Ovis aries: one gene and its partners. The protein of the gene in region 7 purifies or fractionates together with the protein of the main gene of each other region. This does not show direct contact. Links are inferred from orthologs where the notes say so. Each region holds a gene or a part of one and is shown on either strand. Other genes may lie near its edges. The genes, in order: KAT5, TFDP1, L3MBTL2, BRD8, YAF2, RUVBL2 and MAX.

Region 1 (3,980 bases), on a different chromosome or scaffold from region 7:
CGCTCACCTTGTCACAGTGGTCTAGAACTGAACCTGCAGGATCTCTGGGCTCTGCCAGTACGTCCACTCCTGCCCTTCAGAACCCGCTGCTGGGGATTCCTGTACCCACCCTACCCTTGTGTCAAGGTTCAGAGGTTACCTCCTCTTTGAAGCCTTGCTGATCACCCTGGGATCCTGACAGCCCACTTTTCTCATGAAACATATCACACTGGGATCCAAACTGCTACTGGCCTGTTTGTCTTCCCCTGTGAGCTCTCAGAGAACAGAGATTTTGTCAAATTCCTGGTCACTTTTATCTACCAGCACCCGGCCTACAGCAAGAATGCAGTAAATGCGGTGAAGAGATCTGTCCCCTGTAACTGTCAGTGTCTTCCGGAGCTGGAAGAAGCTACTCACTCAACTCCCCCAGACTCCCGGCACCAAAGCCTTCCCGCTGCCCTTCAGCCCCTGACCTTGTTCTTACGTCCGTCGATCTCAAAGAAGGAGATGGTGCCCTTGCGGTAGATCTCATTGCCAGGAGGATGTCGCAGGTCACACTTGGTCTGAGGAAGAGAGGAGGATCAGGCACAGGGGCGGAGGTGAGGGGGTGCTGCTAGGAGGGTGGCCCCTGGGACTCCCCATACCAAGTGACGCTGCAGACACTTGAGGCTTCGGCCATACTTGAGGCAGAACTCGCAGAGGTAGAGGACGGGCAGCGCGGTGAGCTCCTGAGGGTACGGGGAGAAGTACCAGGGCTTGAGGCGGTGCCGGCCCAGCTCGATGCACTCGATGTTCTTCATCCGGGTGACGATGTCGTCGTGGCTCCGGTCAGATACCAGGCTCCCAGTCATGCGAGGAGCGGACGGGATTCCATCTGAGCTGTCCTGGGAGTCCTTCCCAGGGCCCGTGAAAGATACCAGGTTACAGAAGACAACGCAAGCAGCACACTCCACAGCTCACAGCCCTTCCACAGGTTTCCTAACAGCAACCCTCCTAGGGGAGGTACTGCAATCCCCACTTGCCAACTGAAGAAACCAAGACTTGGATGATTTTCACCTGGAAGGTGATAAAGATCACCTAGTGCAGGATCTGAATCAGTTCCGCCTCACCCCTAATTCCAACACCCTTTCTGCCCAGTACCCCTTGTTCATTTTTAAAGTAGTCACTAAACCCCGTGCCCTCCTTATGTCCCCTTCGTTTCACCCTTCCCTCCTCCCCAGACCTACCTCATCAGTGCCCAAACAATTTGATTTCCGCTTCCGCCCGGGCTGAGCTGCCACTGCCCTCCGGGCTGATCCATTCTGCAAATGATAGTGGAGGGACAGAAAGAGTGGCTGTGAGGTGAGCCCAAAGGGGCTATCAGAGGGTAGGAGGGCAGAAGAGATGGCTTGGGGGACTCACCTGGGGGAAAACTGAGGCCGGGGCTGTCTCGCTGGGCACTGGAGTTGCTGGTGAAACCACCTCCACCTTCCGTTTCTGCAGAGAGAAACCAGGACAGGTGGGTCAGAAGGTAGAGAAGGTGGGACCTGAGAGGAAAGCAAGGTCCCTGGAATTGCTGAGGGTACCGTTGAGCGGTGGTTGGGCTGCAGGCAGGAGCTGGAGGAGAGCGGCTGGTCGGGCTCGCCACCGGGAATGGCCTCCCGCTCCTTGGGCAGGTTGAAGCGGAGTGTGATCTGAACCGGGATTGGCAAAGTCTTCCCGCTGGCCTGGGCGGAGGCCGGCTGTAGAGATAGGTCCAGGGTCTTCCTCTGGGGCTGGGATGGTGGTGGGATGGGGAAGGGGAGTAGGGTCCCCTCGGCATGGAGTGATCAAACCCCACCCTCTGCCCTCTCAAGGACACAGGTACAGTCACTGGACTCTGGAAGCTACATCTGCAGTCTGGGCCCCATCCTTTACAAGCTGAAGCCAGGGTGGGAGGGCACAGCCTGTCGCCCATCTGGGAGCCACTGAGGCCAAGAGATTTTAAAAGTAGGCAGGAGAGAAGAGGTGAAGCAGGGGACCTACTCACCACCTCTCTCTCTGGAGAGCCGGGTCGGGACCCAGGAAGTCCGTTCTTAGTGGGGGTCTTGGCCTCTTTCTTGGGGAACTGGATCTTCTTCAGGTCCAGCCGCTCGTGGGTCACCCATTCATCCAGGCGTTTGTTGACTGCAGCAGTGGGTATGGCTCAGGAAGGAGTGCCAGAGGCTGCCCCCCAACCCTCCAGCCCCACCTCATCCCGGCCCAGAACTCACAATCAATGTAATGGACGTAGAAAAGCTTCCGGCCACTGATGTCCTTCACGCTCAGAATCTCAGCGAGTGCTGTGGGAACAGCAAAGGCAAGGGCCTTAGACTGGCCAGGCCATGAAGCTCCACCCTCCTACGATCTGAACTCCACCACCAGGCCCGAACCCTAAAGCCCCAGCACTTGGAACCGCTCTCAAAAGCCCCGGTTAGTCACCAAGTGCCATCCCCTCTTCAAGCCCTGCCCTGACCAGCTCTAAAGGCTAAAAGCCACGCCCCTCCTGAGTATCTGCGCCCCGCCCGCTCCAGGATTCTAGAGGCCCCACCCCCTCCCCGGGGTTCGGTTGACTCTCCCCCCGCCCCTCGCCCTCAGGTTCCTTAGCCCCGCCCCCCGACGTCACTCACGCCACTCATCTTCGTTGTCCTGGTTCCGCCGCAGCACAGGCAGGCGGCAGCCCTCGATTATCTCCCCCTGGGGAGACAGCGCGGCGCCAGGGTCGGCTACTGGGGGGCCTCGGGCTCTACCCACCTCCCCTGGCTCCCTCCGCCCCGCCCCGGGCACCGGACTCACCACCTCCGCCATCTTCCCTCCCTCCACTGCCACTTCCGGCCCCTCTGGGAGCCGTCACTTCCGGGACTGAGCACGTTGTAGGCCCCGTCTTCCCCGAAGCGGCTTTACTAGTAGGTTCTTAAGAGACACCGCCGCCCAGCTTGCTGACGGAGCCGGCCAGTTTGGCTGGCAGGGGCATAGGGTGTTTTAAGGCTCAGGTCAGGTCCTGGATGGAATCCCCACAACGTGTGCAACGATTGGAGGAAAACTGAGTCAGTCACGTGACGCTCACCGGGTGCGACGCCGGTCACGTGGGATTGGTGTTTGTGCCTAGCGGGCGGCCGCTTGGCCGTCTCCTAGTGGCGTCAAGGCTGCGTCACGGGGAGTGAGCTGCGTGTGCTCGGCTGGGGGGTTGAGGGGCGGATTTCGAAAAGTGGGCACCAGGACCCCCGCAAGTTGTGGACTTTCCTAGGGTTGGGGGTCCACGGAAGAAGGTTTATAGGTTTGTTTTGTATGTTAGGTTGCTAATTATACGAGTTGTTATTGTTCAGACGTCTAAGTCGTGTCGACTGTTTGTGACTCCCGTGAACTGCCAGGCTCCTCTGTCTTTCCCTATCTCCCGGAGTTTGCGTAAACTCATGTCCATTGAGTCAGTGATGCTCTCCAACCATTTCATCCTCTGCCCTCCCCTTTTCTTGCCCTCAGACTTTCCCAGCATCAGTGTCTTTTCTTCGCATCAGGTGGCCAAAGTATCGGGGTTTTCATGTTCACCGTCAGTCCTTCCCATGAATAGTCAGAGATGATTTCTTTTAGAATTGATTAATACATTCAACAACTGTTTAATAATCTGTTACCGTGTCCCAGGCATTTTATCTAGGAGCCTGGGATACATCAATGAATAAAATAACTTGCAGCTCCTGGAGCTTGAATTCTTGGAGGCTGAGAGGGAAAAGAGGGGTGTGGATCACAAACAGTAAATATATTTTAAAAATAAATTATCTAGTCTATTAAAGAGTGATAAGTGTTTTGGGAAACAGCAACAACGAAATACACAAGGTGCAGGGAATGACCAGGTAGGCAAACTAGCCTGCAGGGCAAATCCAACCCTATTCTAGCTTTCCTGCTCAGTGGGCAAAGAATGGTCTTCACACTCTTTTTAAAGCTTGGGGAGACATAAATAGAATATTTCATGATACATGGAAATTCTGAAATTCAAATTTCAGGGTCCA
Region 2 (3,500 bases), on a different chromosome or scaffold from region 7:
ACGCAGTTCAGGCGGTTTTGCCGCCGCGGCACTGAATTACTTCAAAAGAAAATAAAATCCATGTACCCCTCCTGGTCTTTACAGGGAAACTCTCATCAGAACAAACAGCTTCTCTGCCCAGAGCACGAGCTCCGGACGACCCTGGGGCCCTGGTGTCCGCTGCGCAGGGAGCCCGGCTCCAAGCAGGACGGAGGCCGCTCACATGAGACCCCGGCTTCCCGCCGGGGAGGGTGGCCGCGCGGCTCTGGGGGCGCAGTTACCTGGCAGACAGCCGCGTGCCGTTAGACGTCGACACTGCCGACGCGACAAACACACCGCCGAGCGACCCCTGAGCCATTTCTGCAAAGAGGAAGAAAACGAGGCAAACGTCACGAAGCAGAGCCCACAGGGCGCTGAGACAGGGCCGATGGCTCCGGGCTGGGCACCCTCCGGAGAGGGGCGAAGACGGCACTGCAGGGCCGGGAAGGGACACGGCCTCCAGGAGACGGACGGGCCAAAGGGGGCCGGCTCCCGCGCCCCGCCTCCCGGCGGGACCCCGCCCCGCCTCCCGGACGCAACCCTCCCCTCCGCCCGGCCGGACCACCACGCCGACAGGTGGGCAGCAGGGGTCGGCGGGGCAGCCGCTGGCGTTGGGGGTCGGAGAGCAGGAGCTGCTTCACGGACGTCCTGCAGGGCTTGGGAGCCCCCAGGCCACCCAATGCGGGGCTCGTGAGGGAACCCACAACCAGGGGGGCACAGGGAGGCCTCTCCTCTCACCAGAGCGCCCCCCGCCGCTGCCAGGATCCCCAGCTTGGCCGGGGCGGGGGGGCAGCAGGACAGACTCCAGACACCTGCTCAGCTGCGAACCCTACAGGCAGCACCACCCCCCCGGAACCGCGAGCCCCCTCAGCCCCCGCCCCCCTTGCTTCTGCGCCTCCCGCGGGCAGGTGACCCCCCCCCCATGCCACTGGCCTGTCACATAAGGCTCCAGCGCCTTCGGCACCAAGCTCCTGGCCACCCTCAGGTCCTCGGGGGAGCAGCTGCCGGACTCCAGCCCGCAGGCCATGCCCATGCGCTTCAGCACCTCGATGTCATCATGAATCTCAAACGTGTTGTCGAAATTGAACAGGTACTCAAACCTGGAGGCGACGGTCACCGTCAGAAAAGCACCATATCCAGGACAGAGCCGACGCCTGACTTGGGGCCCCGAGCCCGCAAACCTTCCCCCGGCACACAACCCACCCATCGGAGGCAGCGACGCCACCGGGACAGGCCCCAGGTGCCGCCTGCCGTCCTGATGCGCCCCGCCGCCCTCCTTTCCAAGGAGCTGCACAGCCCGGGTAAGGAAACCCGCCAGTGAACTCCCTGGGAGCCGCGCCACGCGGCCTGTCAGACACGCAGCGCGGGCAGAGCAGGCCCCGCCCACGCAGCGGGGGGGGGGGGGGTGGCAGAACAGGCCCCACCCACGCAGGGGGGGGAGCAGAGCAGGCCCCGCCCACGCAGGGGGGGCAGAGCAGGCCCCACCCACGCTGGCGGGCAGAGCAAGCCCCGCCCATGCTCGTGGGCAGAGCAGGCCCCGCCCACACAGCGGGGGCAGAGCAGGCCCCGCCCACACATGGGGGGCAGAGTATGCCCCTCCCATGCAGCGGGGGCAGGGGGTGGGGGGGCAGAGCAGGCCCCGCCCACAGCGGGGGGGGGAGAGCAGACCTCTCCCACACAGCTGGGCAGAGCAGGCCCCTCCCACACGGCGGGGGCAGAGCAGGCTCCGCCCATGCAGCAGGGGGCAGAGTAGGCCCCGCCCAGGCTCGCGGGCAGAGCAGGCCCCGCCCACACAGCAGGGGGCAGAGTAGGCCCCGCCCACACATGGGGGGCAGAGTAGGCCCCTCCCATGCAGCGGGGGGAGGGGGTGCGGGGGCAGAGCAGGCCCCGCCCACACAGGGGGGGGAGCAGACCTCTCCCACACAGCTGGGCAGAGCAGGTCCCTCCCACACAGCGGGGGCAGAGCAGGCTCCGCCCATGCAGCAGGGGGCAGAGCAGGAGGCCCCACCCACGCTCGCGGGCAGAGCAGGCCCCGCCCACACAGCGGGGGGGGGTGGAGCAGGCCCCTCCCACACAGCGGGGCAGAGCAGGCCCCGCCCACGCCGGCGGGCACAGCAAGCCCCGCCCACACCCGTGGGCGGAGCCCCCCTCACGCCTACTTGTCGTTGGAGATGCTGCAGTCGATGACGGTCTTCTTGCTGGTGTTGACGATGATGAACGGCAGGTGGATGACCGAGTTGGGCGGGGGCGGCCGGCTGGCCTGCTGCTCCACCTGGCGGTTCCTCTGCACCAGGTTCTTGAAGGCGATTTGCTAAAAAAGACGCACAGTGGGCCCACGCTGAGGCCCGCGGCCACTGAACAGCTAACCTCCCCCTGGGCATCTGCCACGGCCCTGCCCAGCCCCAGCCAACACCGAGGAGGCTGGTCCCCCGAGAGGCCAGGGGAAGCACGCCCGGAACCGAGTGCCTGGAGGGCAGCCTCCGCGCAGGGGCCCCTAACCTGCAGGATGAGCTCCTGAAGCTGCGACTGCTTCTGCTTTATCCTTTCCAGCCTCCTCTGTCTCTCCACCTTCACAGATCAAACACCAAAACAAAACCATAGCGGTTCGTTTCCGAAGCATATTTTAAAATCCAAGGCAACACGGTCACCAAAGACACGAGCCCTGAGCCTGATAGGGGCCGGGGGCCAGAGGAGGCAGCTGCTGCCAGGCGTGCGGGCGGCTCCTCCGTCTCAGGACTGTGCCGCCTCCACCCGACTTCCGCTCCTCTGGGCGTGGAAACCCCCGCAGGCCAAGCGGGCCATCAGCCTCCAGCCCCGGGTCACCGCCAGGGGCAGCACAGAGGCGCCCGGCACTCCCAGGCCCGCCCAGCACCGCAGGGGGGCAGCCGGGCACCTCTAGACTCTGGCACTCCTGGGCGGAGTTGGTGGGCAGGCCGATCCACTTGATCTCCTTCTTCTCCTTGGAGATGATGTTCATCGCCATGAGCACGTTCAGCGCGTCGTACACGCGCCTCCGGATGTTCTTCTGATCGTAGGCCTGGCAGAGACGCGGGGGGTTCCCGACGGCCCAGGACCACGCGCACAGCGGCACGCGAGCCCCGGACACACCCGAGGCCACACGCTGCCCCCCCACCCCCCGCCCAGGGCGGCCCCCACACGGCCCACAGGAGCGAGCAGATGCCACAGGGATGCGACAGCTTCCCGGCACCAGCGGGTCAAGAAACATCCTTCCCAAGGGCTCCGGGGCCTCCGCACCCGCGGGAGGCGGCGGGGCGGCCTCTCCAGGGCTCCGGGGCCGCCTCCGCACCCGCCCGCCCGACGCGCTCACCGACTCGCTGGGCAGGATGTGGCTGTCGGCCGCGCTGAACTCGGCCACCAGCTCGTCGGCCACCTCGTTGTAGGACGTCGTCCCCTTGCGCTGCACCTTCTCGCACACCTTCATGGAGAAGTGCCGCAGCCCCTTCCCGTTCTTCTCTCCTTTC
Region 3 (3,998 bases), on a different chromosome or scaffold from region 7:
AGAGGAAAAGAAGACAGGATGAATGGAGAGGCAAAGAGTATTAGATGCTTCTCTTCTAAAGAGTAAAGGGACCAAGAAACAGGAGTGTCATCACAGACCATCTAACCTGCCTCTTTGCACAGGCAGTCCCCACACTGGAGGCCCTGACACCGAGGTCCAGCAGCTGTACAAGCATCACACCTCTGACGCCAACTGGCTTCCAGATGATTCACAGGGATTCTTATCTGCCCTCATCCTCTTACCTGGAGGTCACTTAATTCTGTATTTCCTTGCCTCTCACTTCCGACTCACGAGCTATTTCTTGTCCCTTCCCAGAGAGTAACCAGATCACATTAGGTGTCGTATATTCTCAAGACCCAGGCTTAGAAATCCACCAACTATTATTATTTACACAAACGCAAAAGCACCACCATGTTAATGATCGGCATCTAATATGTGCTGAATGAATATTAATTGTGAGAAAAGAATGAAATCACAACTTGAAATCAGACTGAAATGACCCTTGGGGATACTTGGGGTGCCTCTGTCTCTCTCACAGGTCCTTAGACATCAGATCAAAGAGCCCTTTACACCTGGACGGCTCCGCCCACCTGGCCTACATCTGCCTCTCCATCCATAGCCTCTGAAACCTCCCTATCTTTGGGGGACACTTTGAAGGCACCTGGCTCAGAACCACTGCCGTCCAAGGACCGGGGCGTCCCAGGGCTGAGCAGATGCAGCGGGGAGGTGGGCAGCTCCCCTGCTTCCCGATCCTCATGTTCTGCTTCACTTGACTCCTCAAGATAGGAGCTGCTCTCACTGCCCACACTGCTGTTGTAACTCCGGAAGCTGTCATAGCCGCCGAAGAGCTCCAGGTCATCGTCTTCCTCTTCCTCCTCCATCGGTTCTGAAGACGGAGTCTCCTAGGAAAAGGATGACACAAAGCAGGCAGGAGCAATCGTGGTTGGCTTACTGTAAGACAAGGGAAACTGCAGGTCTGCTATCAACTCCCTTTCCAGGTCCTGGTCAAGTCAACGCTTCTGGGCCGAGCGGCAGGTACAATCAAACACCCCTTTCGTAAACACCAGGATCATTACTCTTGTTTATACCTTTCTCAACTGCAAGTCAAAAGAATACCTTAGCCAGACAGAAACATGTATTAGGAATTCACCAGGGTCCTCTGCGGATTTATACATGACGACATTTTACCACAATTCACACAGAACAGAGTGATGTGAAAATATACTAAGCATGGTGCTTCGTGAAGACATTCTGGAAAAGATGTATTCCAGAAACTCATTCTTCCCCCTTCAGCAGGTATACACCAAAGTAATTTCAACTCAAAAACAATTTAAGTCAGACGAAAGTTAATTTGGGGCCCAGACTGCCCTAAAGAGGATTTGAGGCAAATGACATACTAGCACTGTGGGACATACCTAGCTTTGGACCTAGCCTTGATCCTAACTAGCTGTGGGTCCTTGGGCAAGTTATTTAACCTGTCTGGGTCTCATTTTTCTCATCTATAAAACAACAACAAAAAAAATTGGTTCAAAAGATGTGCAATGTGAAATGAGGTATTCTATATGAATCTACGTGGCATGTAGCAGAAAAGGTGTGAAGCGTTTGGGCTCTAGGCCAAGACTCCAAAACCATCCCTACTATATGACCTGCAGCAGTTCAATCTCAGTGCCTCGGTTTCCCCATCTGTAAATGAGGACAATTCCACCTATTTCATAGGCTTTGGGGGAGAAGTAAGGGTTACTATGGGAAAGGCACTCAGAATAGTGACATGCAAACAGCAAGTGCTCAATAAATGCTGGTGATCATTACTGGTTAAAAGCACAGGCACTCAAATCGGATATGCCGGAGCTGGAATCCGGGCTCTCCTACTTAGGGCTCTCGGTTTCTCCATCAGTACAATGGCTGTAACAAGCCTTCTTTAGAGTGCTGCTGTGCGCACCCAGGCGCTATGTAAAGCCTAGTTCTGTTCCCAGCAGTCAGTGACAGCTCTGAAACTGGGAGTTATCATTCACACTCTACACTGATGATGATTCTTCTTGACTCTCGGAGAGTTTGTGAGCGATTCCACTTTATATTTACACTACATATGCAAATGTGCCAGAAAGGACATTCAAATATAAGGTAACCAGAAGCCAAATGATGAAAGGATATATGGGTTGCAGGTGGTGGGAAGAATGGGAAAAGCAAAACAGGGAGAGTTTTGGAACCTGACAGACTTAGTGCCCATCTCCTTCACTTTACAGCTGCGTGGCCCTCCTGGGGAGTGGCACTACCCTCTCCAAGCCTCAGGTGCATGATCCATAAAAAACAGACAATAACACAGGACTTGTTACTGTGGGATAACGCACGAGAACGCTCCAGATACGGAGTGTTTATTAAACTTTAATCTTCCTTTACTTCCCACCAGGATGTGACAGGCCTCACAGTCCCTAAAGAGGCCACCATGAGACAAGGGGGAGAAGGAAGATTCAGGAGCTCTCATATCCTGAACCCAGTTCCTCTTCCCCCAGGCCAGTGAAGCTGTTCTTCCCTCAACCTCACTCGGACCCAGGAGAACGGGAGCAAAAGGCGATGCCAATCGCCTCTGGCCTTGCTCAGCCTAACTACCTGTTTATCCATTCTTCCATCCTCCACCCTCCAGGCGTCGCTCAAAGGCCCACCGAGCGAGGCTCTCGGGGTTCCCTTTCCGAGAAGTCCTCTCCCTCTCACCTCGACGCCCCGGGGCTTCTCCATGAGACCTAACACAGTTTCTTCAACCGTCACCAGGTGCAGGAAGCCATATTGGCCTCGCCGCTCTCCCGGAGCTTACTCATTGGCCGCCTCCCAGGGCCGAAGGCCAATCACGCTGCAGGAAAGAGGTAAAGCCGGTTCCGCGCTGGCCTGAGCCCCGCCTCCCCTGGAGGCGGGGAAGCCGCGGGTGCTTATGGGACTTGTAGTTTCCTTTGGGCTGCGCGTGGAGGGGGTCGTTGCTGTGGCGCCGTGAAAATTTCCCCGCCCCAGACCTGCCTGACCCGGGAGGATAGTTCTTGTTTCTCCACGGTAACCTCTTGCTATCACACCGACTCCGTTCTTCATTAAACAATTATTGAGTACCTAAGAAGGTACTAGCAACCTTCCCTGGTGGCTCAAAGGTTAAAGCGTCTGCCTTGGAATGCAGGAGACCAGGGTTCGATCCCTGGGTCGGGCAGATCCCCTAGAGAAGGAAAATGGCAACCCACTCCAGTACTCTTGCCTGGAGAATCCCATGGAGGGAGGAGCCTGGTATGCTACAGTCCATGGGGTCGCAAAGAGTCAGACACGACTGAGTGACTTCACGTAAGAAAGTACTGTTCAGGCACCCTCCAGGAAAAACCTCGCCCTTTCCCTGATGAGAAATTAAACGTGCCCTAGTGCGGGGATGCCTAGCAGAGAGACTGTTCCCTGTTTAGGCAGAAACTGGAATACTCACTCTTAGGTCCAATGGTATAAATGTCCCACATGCTTAAAATTCTGCAACACTCTACCTTGCATCACCATCTCCTGAAATAAACCTCAGATATGAGGCTCTCTGCCTCATTCTTTTGGGACCCACAACGGTCTTTAAGGACCCACAACCGTCCTTACTCACAGTTCTAGGTGCTGTAGTAGAGCTTTAAAAAAATATATATTCATTTATTTGTCTGTGCTGGGTCTTCCTTGCTGTGTGGACTTCAGTTGCAGAGAGGTGGGGGTAAGGTGGGGGCCACTCTTCCTTGCAATTCGTGGGCTTCTTATTGCCGTGGCTTCTCTGGTGCAGAGTACCAGCTCTAGGACACAAGGTCATTAGTTGTGGCACACAGGCTTAATTGCTCCACAGCACGTGGGATCTTCCCGGACCAGGGATCAGAACCCTGTTTCTTGCATTGGCAGGCGATTCTTTACCACTGAGCCATCAAGGAAATTCTATCATGGAGCTTTACAAACATCTTAAATCAGGGACAATCAGTCACTGTTTCACAAATGAGGAAACAGTGGCCCTT
Region 4 (3,980 bases), on a different chromosome or scaffold from region 7:
TTCTCTTTGAAAAGTTATTTGAAAAATACATAGAATTGTAGAAGTGTTACATGTGATCAGTAATGGTGCTTTCATAAACTCATTTGAATGGTTAAAGTAGTAGAGATAAACCCTACAAATGCAAATTTGTTTATTAAGTAATTTTAACACTTAAGACAACTAAAAGGTAACTTTAGATACGGAGAGAAAAAAAAAAGTCGGGGGCGGGGAGACCAAATGTTAAAAATGAGACTATGTCCTGGTAGAAAAAAAGATTGGAAAACACACACAGTCCTACTTTCTGGTACTTAAAAGAAACACAAATTAAAACCACAATACAATACCATTTCACACTCAGCAGTATAGCTATAATCAAAAAGACTAAATGTTTGCCAAGCATGCAGAAAAACTGGGTCCCTCATTTATTGCTGGTGGGAATGTAAAACGGTGAGGCCACTTTTTAGTTTGAAAGCAGTTCCTCAAAAAGATAAATATGAGTTATAATATGATCCATTGAGAGTCCCTTGGACTGAAAGGAAATCAAACCAGTCCACCCTAAAGGAAATCAGTCCTGAATATTCACTGGAAGGACTGATGTTGAAACTGAAACTCCAATATTTTGGCCACCTGATTTGAAGAGCTGACTCATTTGAAAAGACCTGATGCTGGGAAAGATTGAAGGCGGGAGAAGGGGACAACAGAGGATGAGATGGTTGGATGGTATCACCAACTCAATGGACATGAGTCTGAGTAAACTCCAGGAATTGGTAATGGACAGGGAAGCCTGGCGTGCTGCAGTCCATGGGGTAGCAGAGTTGGACACGACTGAGTGACTGAACTCAACTATGATCCAGCAATTCCACTCTTTCAAGAGAAATGAAAACATGCCTGCACAAAAGCTTGTACACAAATGTTCACAGCGGCATTAATATTCAGCAAAGTAAAAACCACTCAAATGTTCATCAACAAATGAACAAAATGTGGTAAACCCATACAAGGAACTACAATTTCATCAAAACAAAGAATAAAGTACTGATGCATACTCCAGCATGAACCCTGAAAGCATTATGCTAAGCCCCAGAGTACCACAAAGTATATGATTCCATCTATATGAAATGATCAGAATAAGCTATAGAGAGACAGAAAGTAGATGAGTGTTTGGTGAGGGAGGCGGAAATATTAGAGAGGCGAAGAGATTTGCAGAGTGATTCCTTAAGGGTAAGAGGTTTCTTTCAAGTGTATTTAAAATGTAAAATTAGACTCTAGCATTGGTCCTATGTAAATTATGTGAATTTAATAAATTAAATATTAATAAGTTTTAATAATTTTAATAAATTAAGTTAAATCCTGTGAATATACTGGGAATTCTGTGAATATAATTTTGTGATATGTAATTGCATCTCAAGAAGGCTGTTAACTACTGCTTAAACGTTAACTACTGGAATCCACCGGTACTTACATGAAGGGGAAAAAAAAAAAACGGTTTCTAATACCCAAGGAAGCAGATATCCTAAATACCTTACCAATTTTGATCTCCACTCCTCATGACAGAAGACGCTAAACACAGCTTCTCTCGGATGGACCATGGCTCTGTAGGGCCAGTACTCAGCAGCTTATGTTCTGAAAGATTTAGAGACAACCACTGAGGCACTAAGTCCCAAAGGGAGGATTAAAAGTCTAATACAAAAATGTCCTAACCTGTAAGGACAAAGTGAGCCACTATCACCAAATCTTGATTTTCACCTCTCTAGTAAACACCACCACTAGGATGGTGCCTATTCATTGCTTGAGAACTGCACTTGATTATCTGGCAAAACATTTTTCTGTAAATGCCATGGTTACTCTACCATATTTAAAAAAAAAAAAGTCAAGTTAATTTAGGGCAGTTCTTCCAAAAAACCCAGTTTTAAGAATGCTTTATTCCAGGAACTTCCCTGGTGGTCCAGTGGTTAAGTCTGTGCCTTTTCCCTAGAGGGGACGTGGGTCCCATGATCCTGCCAACCACCAACCTCCCAGCTCTGCCCTGGCCAAAAAAAAAAGAATGCTTTATTCCAAAGTGGACCCCAGGCCTTATTTCCCAGGATTCCGAGCGGCCAACCCCCGCTACTGCCCCGCCTCCTTCTTAGCATAAACTTGTTTACTTCTCTCAGTTACACCCATTCCCCTCAAGCTGTTAGGCCTACAAGACCTTCTCAGTCCCTGAAACAGAGGGAAATGGCTGAGATACAGGAAATGTATTTTTTCCCTAGTGGCAGAAAAAGCTCACGATTAACATGTCCCATCTCTCTGTGAGTACAGGCCTCACAAATGTTCGTCAGAAAATGACTCTTTGGGACCCCGGCCACTCCATATGGCTCACAGCATCTCTGTCCGCACGCCGGAGCCTCTAAGGCACCTTTTTTCCCTCTCACCCCGCAGAGCTGACAAACATACAAGAATTTTCTTAGGCTGCTTTTCTCAAAGCTCCGTGGCCTTGCACACCACAACTAGAGAGGAGCACTCCTCGCGGCAACTAGAGAACAGTCCACGGAAAGCGACGAAGACCCAGCGCAGCCAATAAATAAAAATTCTAAAAGCAAAAAAACTCCGCGGCCTTACTTAAGTGTAAGACTTCACGCTTCTGGGCCCTCAACCCCCAACCGCTGGCCTTAACAGCGCCGCTCGAGCCCAAGTCTCTGATGGCTCTGGGCTCTCAGGTGAATCACTGCTTCTACTCCCTAAGAGTGTGACAGATCTGTTGCCTGGCCTTGGTTCTACAAACACCTTCCACGCAAGAGCAAGGCAGATACTTACTGCCCGTTCCCGTCGCCATCTTGGCCCCGACGTCTCCAACCCCCGAAGGAAGATTTCTGGCCGAATTGAAGCCCAAGGAATTCTGGGAGATAGCGTTCCAGCGTTTATTCGCGGTGCGTCCTGGGAAATGTAGTCCCCTCTCCCCACCCTAGGATGAACCAGCGCCCCAAATCAGGTATTCTTGTGAGTTCCTGAGAAGGAATGTGCGAAAGAACAGAGAATGGTGGCTGAAGCCTTAGGATTTCCTTCAGGCTTCTTAGAAAAGAAATGCCTAGGGTTCAAGAAAAACTGATAAACAGAAGTTCCAGTTGACCCAGCTCCAAAATCCAACAGTTGGTAACCCGTCCCACATTTGAGCAGAGAGGTCAAGCCTAAGAAAACCGTTTCCGGGTTTCGCCCGCCCCCTTGCACTGATTGGTAGGTGCAAGGTTCGCTATCTGATTGGCCGAACGAACTCAGCGCGCAATTTAAAACATTGTATCAGAAACAAAGGTGCGCTTCGTGGGTGGGGTTGTCCTCTCAAGCTGCCGAAAGCCCAGTTTCGGCTGTGGGGTGTGAGTGAGCCGGTCCCGTAGAAGTGTGGCGTCTTTAGGTAAGTGTGCGGCTGAACTTGAGTCAAGTTGGGGCACCTTTGCTCTGGCGGATTAGGCATTCAGAAAGCGGAACTGCCGCCATTTCTGTTTTTCTTAATAATTCTGTCCTCACCGTGGGCCTAGAAGCGAGGTATAGAGAATGAGCCTAGGGCTTCTGACACGGCTGAGGGAGGCTCCCTACTTGGAACTTGGCCTTATGTTTTCGGAGTTAGATATCTGTTCATTCCTGTTCGCGGTCCGAAATGCTGCCTCAGATTGGATTAAATGATTAACTCTTTCTCTCTTTCCCGTTTGCTGGTAGTCGAAAGGAGAAGGGAGTAGGAATTCAGGCAGCGAGACTAGGTTGCCCTGGGGCAAGGGAATTGTTTCTTACCTAGAAAAGAGGGCGAATTCTTCAGCCCCTTTTATCCCTTAAGGTTCTCCTCCCTACCCACTCTTGTCTCTTTTTAGACCTAAACTGCCCCTGCTGCCATGTCGCAAGGGATCCTTTCTCCACCAGCTGGCTTGCTGTCCGATGAGGAGGTCGTAGTCTCCCCCATGTTTGAGTCCACAGCTGCAGATTTGGGATCTGTTATACGCAAGGACCTGCTGTCAGACTGCTCTGTCATCTCCACC
Region 5 (3,500 bases), on a different chromosome or scaffold from region 7:
GCAGTTTTATTGTAAGGTTCATGAAGTTGGAAATTAGCTTTCTTTCTTTCTTATGTAAAAGTGGGAGTGATTGAGGAACTGTGTCTCATAAGCAACATGTACCAACTTGGAGACAGATACTGATGGGGAAGGAGTGATTGATAGCGTTGTAAAAATATTAAGTACCTAACTACAACACAGCAGTTACATTCCTAAAAACTTCGTGATCAGAGAATGCATGATTGAGACAGTTTCATCTTAAGGGAAATACTGTATTGAGGTTAATAATGAATCCAGAAAAACCTAGAAAAATATTCAGTTTTGCTTAAAAACAGCACTAAAGAAAGAGAATATACATGATTATGTATCTGAAGTTAGTGATAATGGCCTCTAAATAACCAACGTCAATTTACTGATTGATGGAAACATCAGGATTTCTACTCTAGAATGTGAATTTAAAAAATTTTTCAATTTATTGAAATTCAGTTGAAAATTTTTATAAATTTATTTTGTATTCAATTTTAGGTTTAAGGGAGTAACAGTACAAACTGTATTAAAGGAAGTTGTCAAACTTCCATTTGTTATGGCAGGAAGAGATTCAGACACCCATAATACCTTGGGAGACAAATGATGACTACACCTCAGTTGCATTATATAGCTTGGAGTGACTCTCAATTTTAGGTGACTCACTGTTCACCAGGCACTAGTCTAACCAAATCTTTTCACAACCTGCCACACCTTTGAACTTTCTTTCTCTTTGCATACCCTAGAATAATTAAAAGAGAAATTAATTCCTGCTGCTCTTGCCTTTCACTGCTTGCTTGCTTCTATGTAGTGAGTGGTTGATCCTGTGAATAAGCGTAGAGACAGTATTCCTTTCCTTTAAAAACATCTTTGTGGGTGAAGGGTGGAGGGGAGGTTCAAGAGGGAGGAAACATATGTATACTTATGGCTGATTGTAAAGTAGTTGTCTTCCAATTAAAATTTTTTAATAAATGCAGAAAACCTTTCCTCATTAAACCTGATTTTATCATTCATTCATTTTTCAACAAATATTAGGTATCTAGTATTTTCCAATACTATGCTAGGTACTAGTTATCCAGTGGTATATAAAACTGATACCGTGTCTTTCTTTGTGGAGTTTATACTCTAGATGAGAAAACAGATGGTAAAATTAAAATTGCGACTGCTTCCTTAAAACTCCCTGTGTTCCTTACTTTTCTTTTCTTCCATGGCATTTATTCACATCTAAGAGCTTGTTTTTTTGTTTAATTTCATCCACAGAATACTGGTTACATGAGAACAAGCAAGAGTTTCTGTACGTTTTGCTAAGGGACTATGTTGGTTGAGAAGTGAGAAAGGCATGTTTAATTAGTCACCATATCCCCTTGATTCTGCTTCTTCATTCTGTCCTTAAATAACCCCATGGCCTCTTCCATTTAGTTCAAGCCCTTTTTATTTTTGCCTGATCTGTTAAAGTAGCTTTCCCTGCCTCTGTAGTACCTTTCTTTTCCATATTGCTGCCAGTAATTTTCGTAAAATTCAAGTCTGAATTTCTTCAGTGATCTCCCATCTTTAAAGAGTAAATCAGGCTCCTTGGCTCTGCATTATCAGGTTCCTTCATATCTTTTTTTCATTTCTCTGCTGCTCCCTGCTCTCCATCTTAAACTCTTTGCTGCAGTAATGTTAATATATTACACTCCTTCACACTTCTTTGCAAAGTGTGGTGGCTGGACCAGAGGCTTCTGCTTAACTGGGAAGCTATTAAAAATGCAGATTTTAGGCTCTATCTGAGACCTACTGAATCAGAACCCTGGGAGCAGAGCTAAGCAAGCTAAACAAGACTTTCTAGTAATCCTGATGTACCTTAAATTTGAGAACCGGTGCTTTAGTACTTTTTCTTTTAAAGTTTATTTCCTGAACAAGCTCAGCCAATAATATTTTCATCTATGTAACTCTTGATATGTATCATTAACCCTGCCTGGTATCTGGGTCAGCCCTACTTTTTAAACTGTATTCTGGACATCTTTCCTGGATATTCTACCTGTACTTCAGACTCCGTTGGTTCTAAACAAAATTCAATATCCATCTATTAAGATGTTTTATATACTGCATCTCCTGTTTCCTCCTTCAAAGGATTCCTTCCTCCTTGCAGCTTTGAAAGCTAGATTGTGCAATATTTTCTCTTTGGTTTCTATTTTGTCTTGTTTTAGAAGAACAGAGGAAAAAAATTTTTTTAATAGTTGTGCTGACCAAAATAGGATCAGGATTTTCCAGGCAATAGATTACTGTTGTTTGTAGACCATCTGTTATGATTTATTTTTATCTTATTTTTCCCTATTTTGTTCCTCCCATCTTTTTTTCCCCTCTTTAGTAGTCTTTCTCATTTTAAGAGACTATTAGCTTTGAATCTTGACCTCAGCCACCCACACTGTACCATAAAGTTGGTGGGATCCTTGACCCTGGGCTAATAGAGTGACAACTGGTACCAAAGGCTGTAGTCTGGCAACGTTTCATCTCTCTCCGTACAGTTTTGCAGTAGGTTCTCAGTACATTTATTTATTTATTTTTAATAAGTAAGCTAGGCAAGTCTCAAAAGACTGGGAAGATCTCCAAGTTCAAAAAAGCACAGTGAAATTGTGGCTAGATAGGTAAGGAACCTTAAAGACTTTAACAATAAGGAGAAAATGTACTGAATGAATAAATGAAAGATTTTTAAAGAAAAGAATAGCCGCTGTCACAGATGGTGAGATATTTCCTTCTCTGAGAGAGGAGGGATACATTTAGATTTTACTTCAGTGTAAACTTTCAAGTTTAATTTAAAAGTTTCATGTTTGTTTATATGTTTGCTTCCCCATGAGCACAGTTTGATATACATTTTTAATAATTTTCATGTTGATTTACGTGACAGTTACATTTTAATAGTTTGACTATATATCTTGGACAATAACTTTGAACCGTTATTATAGTTCTATTTTTGTTGACTAGGAAAGACAATAATGTATGTGTGTGTGTATATACATGTATATATATCTGTTAAATTGCATATCTGAATTACCTTACATATGAAAAATTTTTATATGTGAAAATCACAATATATATCTATTCTCATAATTTGAGGTATTCTCATAAAAAATCATGTTCTTAAATTATAGTAAGAAAAAAACCTTTGTTTTTAACATGTACACAGGAAACCTCGACCTGTCTCCCAGTTGGTTGCACAGCAGGTTACTCAGCAGTTTGTACCCCCTACACAGTCAAAGAAAGAGAAAAAAGATAAAGTAGAAAAAGAAAAAAGTGAAAAGGAAACAACTAGCAAAAAGAACAGTCATAAGAAAACCAGGTAAATTTGAAGAGTGTTTTAATGGTACTTTTGAAATAATATAATTAACCATTTAATATTGTCTTTTAACACTGATATATAAAGTAGAATGTGAAATATGTAGAAATAAAAGATTTCATCTGTTTTACTATGTCATGAAAGTATTTTTTCAAGTTGAAGATATTAGAAACTAAATATG
Region 6 (3,500 bases), on a different chromosome or scaffold from region 7:
GCATGGTGGGCCAGCTGGCGGCCCGGAGGGCAGCCGGTGTGGTGCTGGAGATGATCCGAGAAGGGAAGATTGCTGGCCGGGCGGTTCTCATTGCTGGCCAGCCAGGCACTGGGAAGACAGCCATTGCCATGGGTAAGGTGCTTCTCCAGGCAGTAGCTCTTTTGGCCTCACCGGATGATCCTCCCATGTAAGTCAGGGTCAGGTTCAGCCATGTCTAACAGACAGCACAGAATGGAAGTGGCTTAAACACTAAGGCTTTCTTCTGTCACATAGAAGAGTCTAAACATAGGCCAATTCAGGCTTGTTAAGCAGTTCTATGAGGGCTCCTACCTTCTTGCCTCGAGATCACTTGCTTCCATGTCAGGGACACCTTGGGTTACAAAAAGGTGGCCTATGCTCCAGCCATCCCACCCATACTCCATATAAGAAGAAGGAGAAAGGAATTGTAATGAGGGTGTACCTCCTAGAGGGAGCTCCTTTTAAGCAGCTGTCTCAGGGCACCCACATTCTCTTGCTTATATTTTATTGACTAGAAGTTAATGACCACACTCTACTGCACAAGAGAGAGAGAGGCATTAAAACTTTTTTTTATATTTTAATTGGGACTACTGTTACCTTACTGAAATGGGCGTTCTGGAACAAAGGAAGATGTGAAAGATGAGCATTGTATAGACAATCAGCAGTCTCTTTTGCAATTCATTAGTAATTTAAAAGCTTTTTACTCACAACTGTCCCTTATCCTTGTTGAGCTCTTATCTGTCCTTCAAAACTGCTCTCTGACATCTTTTCCTTGTTGAAGGTTTCCTGGAGTCTCTTCCCACTCACTCTCACCTTTGTGCCTGGACTGTGGGGCCAGGCAGTGAGACTCAAGGCAACAGCTAGGTCCTCAGTTAAGAAAAAGTAACACTCATATTTGGGGACACCAAGATGATTAAGACCAAAGTCCTGACTTTAAGGGGCTTCCAGCCTGGGGCAGGTGTTAGTGGACACAGTCCCGTCCATGTAGAGAACAGAGGAGGCTTCTCCTCCGATGAAGGGTGATGGGGAGAGAATGGGGTGGCAGTTGTCAGGAGGGACATCCCAGGTGAGTCAGTACTGGAACTGAGACTCGCAGGAAGTCTGGGAGTCTCCTGAACAGACAGTACGGAACATGATACCCAGGTGCAGAGTGTGGCATGCCTCTGGAAAGGGGACCAGGAAGAGTTGCCACCTCGCACTGGTCAGGAGGGTTCAGTGACTTCCTGTCTGGGAGACTTGGCTCAGAGCTGGGCAGAGCCCCCAGGAAGGGGAGCTGGCAGAGAGGCCCGGAGCTTGGAGTGATGGCAGGAACTGCCCACTGTCTGCCAGCTGACCCCAGGCCCCAGACCATAGAGGAGGCCCTTCCCTGTGCTGGTCCCAGGTCACATATCGGGGTCCCGGCTGAGCACCAGGGCATGCCTGCCCGCCCTTATCATTGCTCCTATGCAGCAATGTCGTTCCCTGCCAGCGCTTGTTATGTTATGGTTCCCATTACCCAGAGGGGCAGGCTGGCTTGGGGAGCAGCTTAGGCTTCTTAAGATAACTTGGTGCTAAGCATTGAAGCCGGGATTCGAACCTGCACAGTCTCTTTTAACCTCTTTCAGCCCCTTGCCTCCACCCCTGCTCATCCCCCCCAAGCCCTGAGGCTAAACAGCTCTCAGAGGTTGGGAGGCAGGTCCAGCATGACTGTAGAGTCATAAAGTTTTTGGTCTGGGCAGTGTGGGGTTCCAACCCAGGGCCTCCCAACATGGCCCGCCATCACTCACTTTCTGCAAGTCTCCCTGTCTGCCCCACAGCACCGAGCCCCTTTTTCCTGTCTGAAGAAGAAGAGCTGGTTAGGGAGATGTGAGGACCTCGTGCCTGGACCACCTACCCAAACTGCCTCCCCTCTTCCTCAGGCATGGCGCAGGCCTTGGGGCCCGACACCCCATTCACAGCCATCGCAGGCAGTGAGATCTTCTCCTTGGAGATGAGCAAGACAGAGGCACTGACCCAGGCCTTCCGGCGCTCCATCGGCGTGCGCATCAAGTAAGCAGGAGTAATGGTAGCTCCCAGCAGCCTTGGGACGCCACCTGAGGGATGCCAGCTCGTCCTGTGCCCAGGGGCCCACAGGGGTGAGCAGTTCCTGAGGGCCCAGGCCGCGAGCTATCTCCTTAGATCTGTTCTCTCGCCAGGGAGGAGACCGAGATCATCGAAGGGGAGGTGGTGGAGATCCAGATTGATCGGCCGGCCACAGGGACGGTGAGTGTGCTCCCAAGTCTAGGCTACCCCAAGGGCTGGGGGTGGGTAGGGTGTGCTGGGTCTGCACTGAGGTCAGAATCCCATGGAAAGTTCGAGATGCAGCTTAGAGTCATCCATATGCCGGCAAGAGAGGGTCGGTTGAATTGATGGCGGTTTGTCCGTTTGTGAGGGGCACAGTGAGCTAAGTGGTGGAACAATGGAAAAGGATATGGAAAAGAACATATTTATGTCTAACTGGATCACTTTGCTGTACAGCAGAAATTAACGCAATATTGTAAATCAACTATACTTGCCCCAAAAAACAAACCAAGCAATGGAATGACGGAGGAGGTCTTGAAGTTTCTCACAGTTAATTCCTAATAGTTAGGCTTACAGACCCGTTGGATTTATAAATCTTAGTACCTCAACTGTACTAACAGTACTAACAGTAAGAATTAACAGGACTTCCTGGTGGTCCAGTGGTTAGGACTCCGCAATTCCACCACAGATTCAATTCCTGGTCAGGGAGCTAAGATCCTACGCGCCTCTCAGCCATAAAACCAAGGCAAAGCAGAAGCAATATTATAACAAATTCAATAAGGACTTTAAGAAATGGTCCACATCCAAAAAAAAAAAACTTTAAAAAAAGATTTAAAAAAACCCTAAAACTTAGCCAGCACCTCCAACCCTGCCCCTTCCTCTGCCTCTTTCCACAGTACCCCATAGAAATAGCCGCCCTCACCCGTTGGAGTTTCATTAGCTTTTATCACCCAACTGTGTATTCCAAGACTGCCCATTTTAAAAACTTATATGTCTTTTAAGTCTTCTGTCATAGTCTGGTTTCCCCTTCATCTCTTTCTCTCTCTTTCAGTTTTTCTGTAGGTCTGTTTTTCACTGACATAAAATCACACAACATAAACTAACCATCAACCCTTTCAGAGTTGCTCCTCCTCCCCTCCCACGCCACCTGCAGTCCCTGGCAACCACAAATCTACTTCCTGTCTTAATGGACTTGCCTCTGATGGAATCTAAGAATATATGACTTTTTGTGTATGTCTTCGAGGTTCAGCAGTGTTTGTAGTTCTCTGTTAAATATTAAGTTACAGGTGTTAATAAAATGCAAAATAAAAGGAAGTCTAAAATTGCTTCAAATCCATTGACCTGATGCACAGTCCTACCTTCTGTTTCTGTGTCTTGCAGGAACACCCTCCTCTTTTTTCATTAGCTTCTCATTTTCAGTGGAAATAGACTTAAAGTGAATA
Region 7 (3,500 bases):
TGTGCAGAGCCAAGGCTAATTCCTGGCACACACAAGGTGACCACCCCGGCCAAAAGCCGTCCTTCCCGTGGCCTTTGTAATCTGTACCACTCAAGTTACGCTTGTTGGTACTGCCCTGTGATTTGTCTGTATATAGATATGTTTATCTCCTCAACTAGATAGTAAGTAAGCATCTGGGCAAAGAGGCCATGACTAATACATTTTGTTTCCCCACAGTGTCTGCTCTGTGCCTGACACATAATTCACACCAGATAAAAATGGTTGAATATGAACAGTTTCCTTTTGAGGAAATTGCCTTAAGGATGCCATAAGAGGAAAGCCTGGAGACTCTAGTGCTTGGGAGAACGGGTGAATCAACCTGGGTCTTCCAAACCTCTCTGATACCCGGCCGTGCTGGAGTCTATGAGTTGCGATTGTCAGGGTTTACTACAAGTGGGTATAGTTTTGCTCGCCCAAGTGTGGCTGTTTTCTTTGCCATTTCAGAAGCTTTGCTCCTGCTCAGGAGTCTCAGTGGCATGACTGCCGGACTTCAGCCACTAGACTAGCTTGTCTCGGGCTTCTGTTCTCTGGGCCTTGTACCATTCTGCCAGTTCAGTCAGTTGACTGCTTGGTCATGAGTAACTCAGGCCATGTTTGCAACCCTGCAGGGAATCTCCCAGACAAGTTTGACCTCCAGGATTCAAGTAACCTGACATCCATTTTATTAGCTCATTAACTTGTTCCTCTACAGGGCAGTCCCTAGGCTACCCTCAGCCATGGTAAAGGTGTGGTTGCTTCCTGAAATGGCCCAATCTCATGCCCTTCCTGTGTTGACACCAAGCTCTGACAGCTTTCACAAACTTCTCTTTAGCCAGAGAGGTTGAAATAGTGACTCGGTCACATGGCTTAGTTGGAACTAGTTAACAACAATCTGAGTACTTGTCTGAAGTCTCAGACCTTGATGAAAACCTTTGTACCCATCCCCATCCTGAGCCAGCTCCAGCTGAGATCTTGATTTTGTCTTTCTGGACCAGCTGCCTATAGCTAGGCCCAGCAGAGAGTGAGTGACCTTAGCTCTCAGTTAAGTGGTAGTTTAATTTTTTCAGAACAGCCTGGCCGAAGATGTGAAAGCAACCTAAAGAACCAAAGAGGCTGGCTGGGAAACAAGTTCAGGGTTGAGACAGAGCTGAGTTTGAATCCAGACTCTACACCCTTTAGCTGGTGATTTTGAATAAACCAGTAAACTTCTCTGAGACTCGGGTTCCTAGTGGAACCACCTTTCTTAGAGTGCCAGTGAGGTAAGCTGTGGAAAGCAGCTGGTGCCTTGACCGGCATAAAGAAGATTCTCTACAGCACTTAGTGCTTCGTGCCCTTCCCCTCCTACTTCTGTCCCCCACGTGGCCTTTGCTGAAAGGAATGGTTTCCTTGCTGCATGGACTAGGTCTTTATTTTGTCCCCTCTGCTTTTTCTCATATTGCAACAGGCATCCCGGGCCCAAATCCTAGACAAAGCCACAGAGTATATCCAGTATATGCGAAGGAAAAACCACACACACCAGCAAGATATTGATGACCTCAAGCGGCAGAATGCTCTCCTGGAGCAGCAAGGTGAGCAGTGGAGCTTGTGGGGCAGCTGGCCCTGCTGTGCGCCAGCCAGGTCAGGGCCTCACGCCGGGGCCTGCAGAGTCAGAACCAGTGACGGAGCCATGCTCCTGAGCAGCTGCAGCCCTGCTGCTTGGGCCTGTAGTCGAGTGTAGCCATCCTGAGGAAGGACCTGAGCCCTTGGTGAGGGAACAGTGGAGTCTAAGGCTTAGCCATCTGGATTCTTTTTTCTGACCTGCTCGCTCTCCCCTTCTTGGGGCCCAAGTGTTGCACTGGTAGTAGAGATCGCAGCTGGCCTCAGGTGCCTCAAAAGAGCTGTGAGGTCCTTGGATTGGAGTGTGCTGTGTAAGCGCCAGAGACTCCAGGTGTTCAGGGACAGTGAGCGCTCCCCGTGTCAACGGTAGTCCACTCAGGGCAGCCCATGGGCCAGGCCCATGCTGTTCTCCAATGCTCACACCCGCCTTTTCCTACAACCACAGGGGAAAGCGAGAGCTGATCAAGTTCTTTGTTCCTGGGGAATTCACTTCTCTTCCTCCCTCATGGAAGATGCAAGTAAAAGGAAATGCAAGTAACCATCTGGGTTAGAACATCTCAAATAAAATAAACTAAACCAAAATAAATGGGTTGACCTTCCAGGCTCAAGACGAGCTGAACCGAGGGATGGGCAGTGGGAGGCGGCAGCGGGTTGGTTACCGGGCCAAGCAGCCTGCATGTAGGGGCTCCGTGTTGGAAAACCCAGGTACTCTGTGTATTGGTGACTTGCTTCCAAGTGTCCAGCTTGTCTTTCCAAGTGGATCTTGTACATGAGAGCTAAGCCAAAACTTTTCTTTGGCTGGTACATCTTCTGTCATCCTTCCCTGCTAATGTGTGACCCTCACACCCTTGTGGAGCCAGGCATTGCTGGGCCAGCTGCACTGTTACTGCACTGCTGGGTCCCGCAGCGAGCTCGTGTTCCTCTCTCTGTACTGGGCTTCCACGGCAGGATGGTGACCTCACACGCCTTCTCTTCAGGGTTGGGTGGCCTTGCAGAGTGGCTGGCCGTATCCACTGAGCACTCGTGTCTGGCTGGGAAAGGCAAAGGGAAGTGGGAGTGTGCAGGTGGGCCAGCCAGCGGAAGGGAGTTACTTATGAGCCACCCTGAGCCTCAGGGGCCAGCATGCCCTCGGAAGAACAGGCTGGACCCCAACCCAAGACTCAGTTCCTCCCCTAGTCTCCAGAAGGCTGTAACCCGCTCGCTTGGTTGCCTTTCAGTCCGTGCACTGGAGAAGGCGAGGTCGAGTGCCCAACTGCAGACCAACTACCCCTCCTCAGACAGCAGCCTCTACACCAACGCCAAGGGCAGCACCATCTCTGCCTTCGATGGGGGCTCGGACTCCAGCTCGGAGTCGGAGCCCGAAGAGCCCCAAAGCAGGAAGAAGCTCCGGATGGAGGCCAGCTAAGCTCCACGGGGCAGGCCAGCAATAAAAACTGTCTGTCTCCTCCGTCGTCTCATCCTCCTTTCAGTTCATCTTTAGAACTCTCAGAACCATTTAAGAGACTCTTTGTTTTTTTTTTCCTCTTTCTCATTTTTTTTTTAAATTTTATTTTTACGTAGAAGCTCTTGGACAACAGCTCTCGTTCTCCTTCCCCGTTTCCACTTTTTTTTTTTTTTTTTTTTAACGTTTCCCTTCAGGGATTCCCTGTCCCCACCAGGAATTTTTAAACCAAAACACCCCAACTTGGCAGCTTTCTCTGTGGAGGACAGACGGCCGGCCAGACCTCTGAGCACATGGTGTCCTGACCACCCACCAGCTCCTCCAGCCCCTCCAGGCACATGCCCGGGGGACTCCTGCCCCACCCAGGCCTCTCCTTCTGGGCCATCCTCACCTCTGTTTGATAGACTTTGTGAATCTGTGGACTGCTCTACTTTCAGAAGATGAC

What was found.
Region 1: the proteins of MAX (region 7) and KAT5 purify together in Homo sapiens (affinity purification with mass spectrometry; 3 studies listed by BioGRID and IntAct, with this or other methods). This does not show direct contact. The link is inferred for Ovis aries from reciprocal best matches to the Homo sapiens genes MAX and KAT5.
Region 2: the proteins of MAX (region 7) and TFDP1 purify together in Homo sapiens (affinity purification with mass spectrometry; 5 studies listed by BioGRID and IntAct, with this or other methods). This does not show direct contact. The link is inferred for Ovis aries from reciprocal best matches to the Homo sapiens genes MAX and TFDP1.
Region 3: the proteins of MAX (region 7) and L3MBTL2 purify together in Homo sapiens (affinity purification with mass spectrometry; 6 studies listed by BioGRID and IntAct, with this or other methods). This does not show direct contact. The link is inferred for Ovis aries from reciprocal best matches to the Homo sapiens genes MAX and L3MBTL2.
Region 4: the proteins of MAX (region 7) and BRD8 purify together in Homo sapiens (affinity purification with mass spectrometry; 3 studies listed by BioGRID, with this or other methods). This does not show direct contact. The link is inferred for Ovis aries from reciprocal best matches to the Homo sapiens genes MAX and BRD8.
Region 5: the proteins of MAX (region 7) and YAF2 purify together in Homo sapiens (affinity purification with mass spectrometry; 3 studies listed by BioGRID and IntAct, with this or other methods). This does not show direct contact. The link is inferred for Ovis aries from reciprocal best matches to the Homo sapiens genes MAX and YAF2.
Region 6: the proteins of MAX (region 7) and RUVBL2 purify together in Homo sapiens (affinity purification with mass spectrometry; 3 studies listed by BioGRID and IntAct, with this or other methods). This does not show direct contact. The link is inferred for Ovis aries from reciprocal best matches to the Homo sapiens genes MAX and RUVBL2.

What each region holds. Positions count from the first base shown.
Region 1 is NC_056074.1:40,318,170-40,322,149, reverse strand, and holds the start of KAT5 (histone acetyltransferase KAT5), read right to left. Parts: upstream 2,801-3,980; 5' UTR 2,785-2,800; coding exon 2,607-2,784; intron 2,280-2,606; coding exon 2,211-2,279; intron 2,125-2,210; coding exon 1,988-2,124; intron 1,701-1,987; coding exon 1,545-1,700; intron 1,456-1,544; coding exon 1,381-1,455; intron 1,281-1,380; coding exon 1,206-1,280; intron 873-1,205; coding exon 624-872; intron 543-623; coding exon 453-542; intron 1-452. UniProt on the Homo sapiens protein: Catalytic subunit of the NuA4 histone acetyltransferase complex, a multiprotein complex involved in transcriptional activation of select genes principally by acetylation of nucleosomal histones H2A and H4.
Region 2 is NC_056063.1:86,066,332-86,069,831, reverse strand, and holds part of TFDP1 (transcription factor Dp-1), read right to left. Parts: coding exon 3,347-3,500; intron 3,056-3,346; coding exon 2,912-3,055; intron 2,587-2,911; coding exon 2,518-2,586; intron 2,330-2,517; coding exon 2,178-2,329; intron 1,119-2,177; coding exon 952-1,118; intron 340-951; coding exon 261-339; intron 1-260. UniProt on the Homo sapiens protein: Can stimulate E2F-dependent transcription.
Region 3 is NC_056056.1:218,193,470-218,197,467, reverse strand, and holds the start of L3MBTL2 (lethal(3)malignant brain tumor-like protein 2), read right to left. Parts: upstream 2,801-3,998; 5' UTR 2,734-2,800; coding exon 2,710-2,733; intron 903-2,709; coding exon 662-902; intron 1-661. UniProt on the Homo sapiens protein: Putative Polycomb group (PcG) protein. PcG proteins maintain the transcriptionally repressive state of genes, probably via a modification of chromatin, rendering it heritably changed in its expressibility.
Region 4 is NC_056058.1:47,270,508-47,274,487, forward strand, and holds the start of BRD8 (bromodomain-containing protein 8), read right to left. Parts: upstream 2,801-3,980; 5' UTR 2,792-2,800; coding exon 2,773-2,791; intron 1,600-2,772; coding exon 1,503-1,599; intron 1-1,502. Other genes in the region: kinesin-like protein KIF20A, read left to right, coding at 3,837-3,980. UniProt on the Homo sapiens protein: May act as a coactivator during transcriptional activation by hormone-activated nuclear receptors (NR). Isoform 2 stimulates transcriptional activation by AR/DHTR, ESR1/NR3A1, RXRA/NR2B1 and THRB/ERBA2.
Region 5 is NC_056056.1:144,816,565-144,820,064, forward strand, and holds part of YAF2 (YY1-associated factor 2), read left to right. Parts: intron 1-3,169; coding exon 3,170-3,322; intron 3,323-3,500. UniProt on the Homo sapiens protein: Binds to MYC and inhibits MYC-mediated transactivation. Also binds to MYCN and enhances MYCN-dependent transcriptional activation. Increases calpain 2-mediated proteolysis of YY1 in vitro.
Region 6 is NC_056067.1:55,305,493-55,308,992, forward strand, and holds part of RUVBL2 (ruvB-like 2), read left to right. Parts: coding exon 1-132; intron 133-1,916; coding exon 1,917-2,046; intron 2,047-2,192; coding exon 2,193-2,259; intron 2,260-3,500. UniProt on the Homo sapiens protein: Possesses single-stranded DNA-stimulated ATPase and ATP-dependent DNA helicase (5' to 3') activity; hexamerization is thought to be critical for ATP hydrolysis and adjacent subunits in the ring-like structure contribute to the ATPase activity.
Region 7 is NC_056060.1:75,272,682-75,276,181, reverse strand, and holds part of MAX (protein max), read left to right. Parts: intron 1-1,462; coding exon 1,463-1,586; intron 1,587-2,059; coding exon of another isoform or gene 2,060-2,076; exon of another isoform or gene 2,077-2,831; coding exon 2,832-3,019; 3' UTR 3,020-3,500. UniProt on the Homo sapiens protein: Transcription regulator. Forms a sequence-specific DNA-binding protein complex with MYC or MAD which recognizes the core sequence 5'-CAC[GA]TG-3'. The MYC:MAX complex is a transcriptional activator, whereas the MAD:MAX complex is a repressor.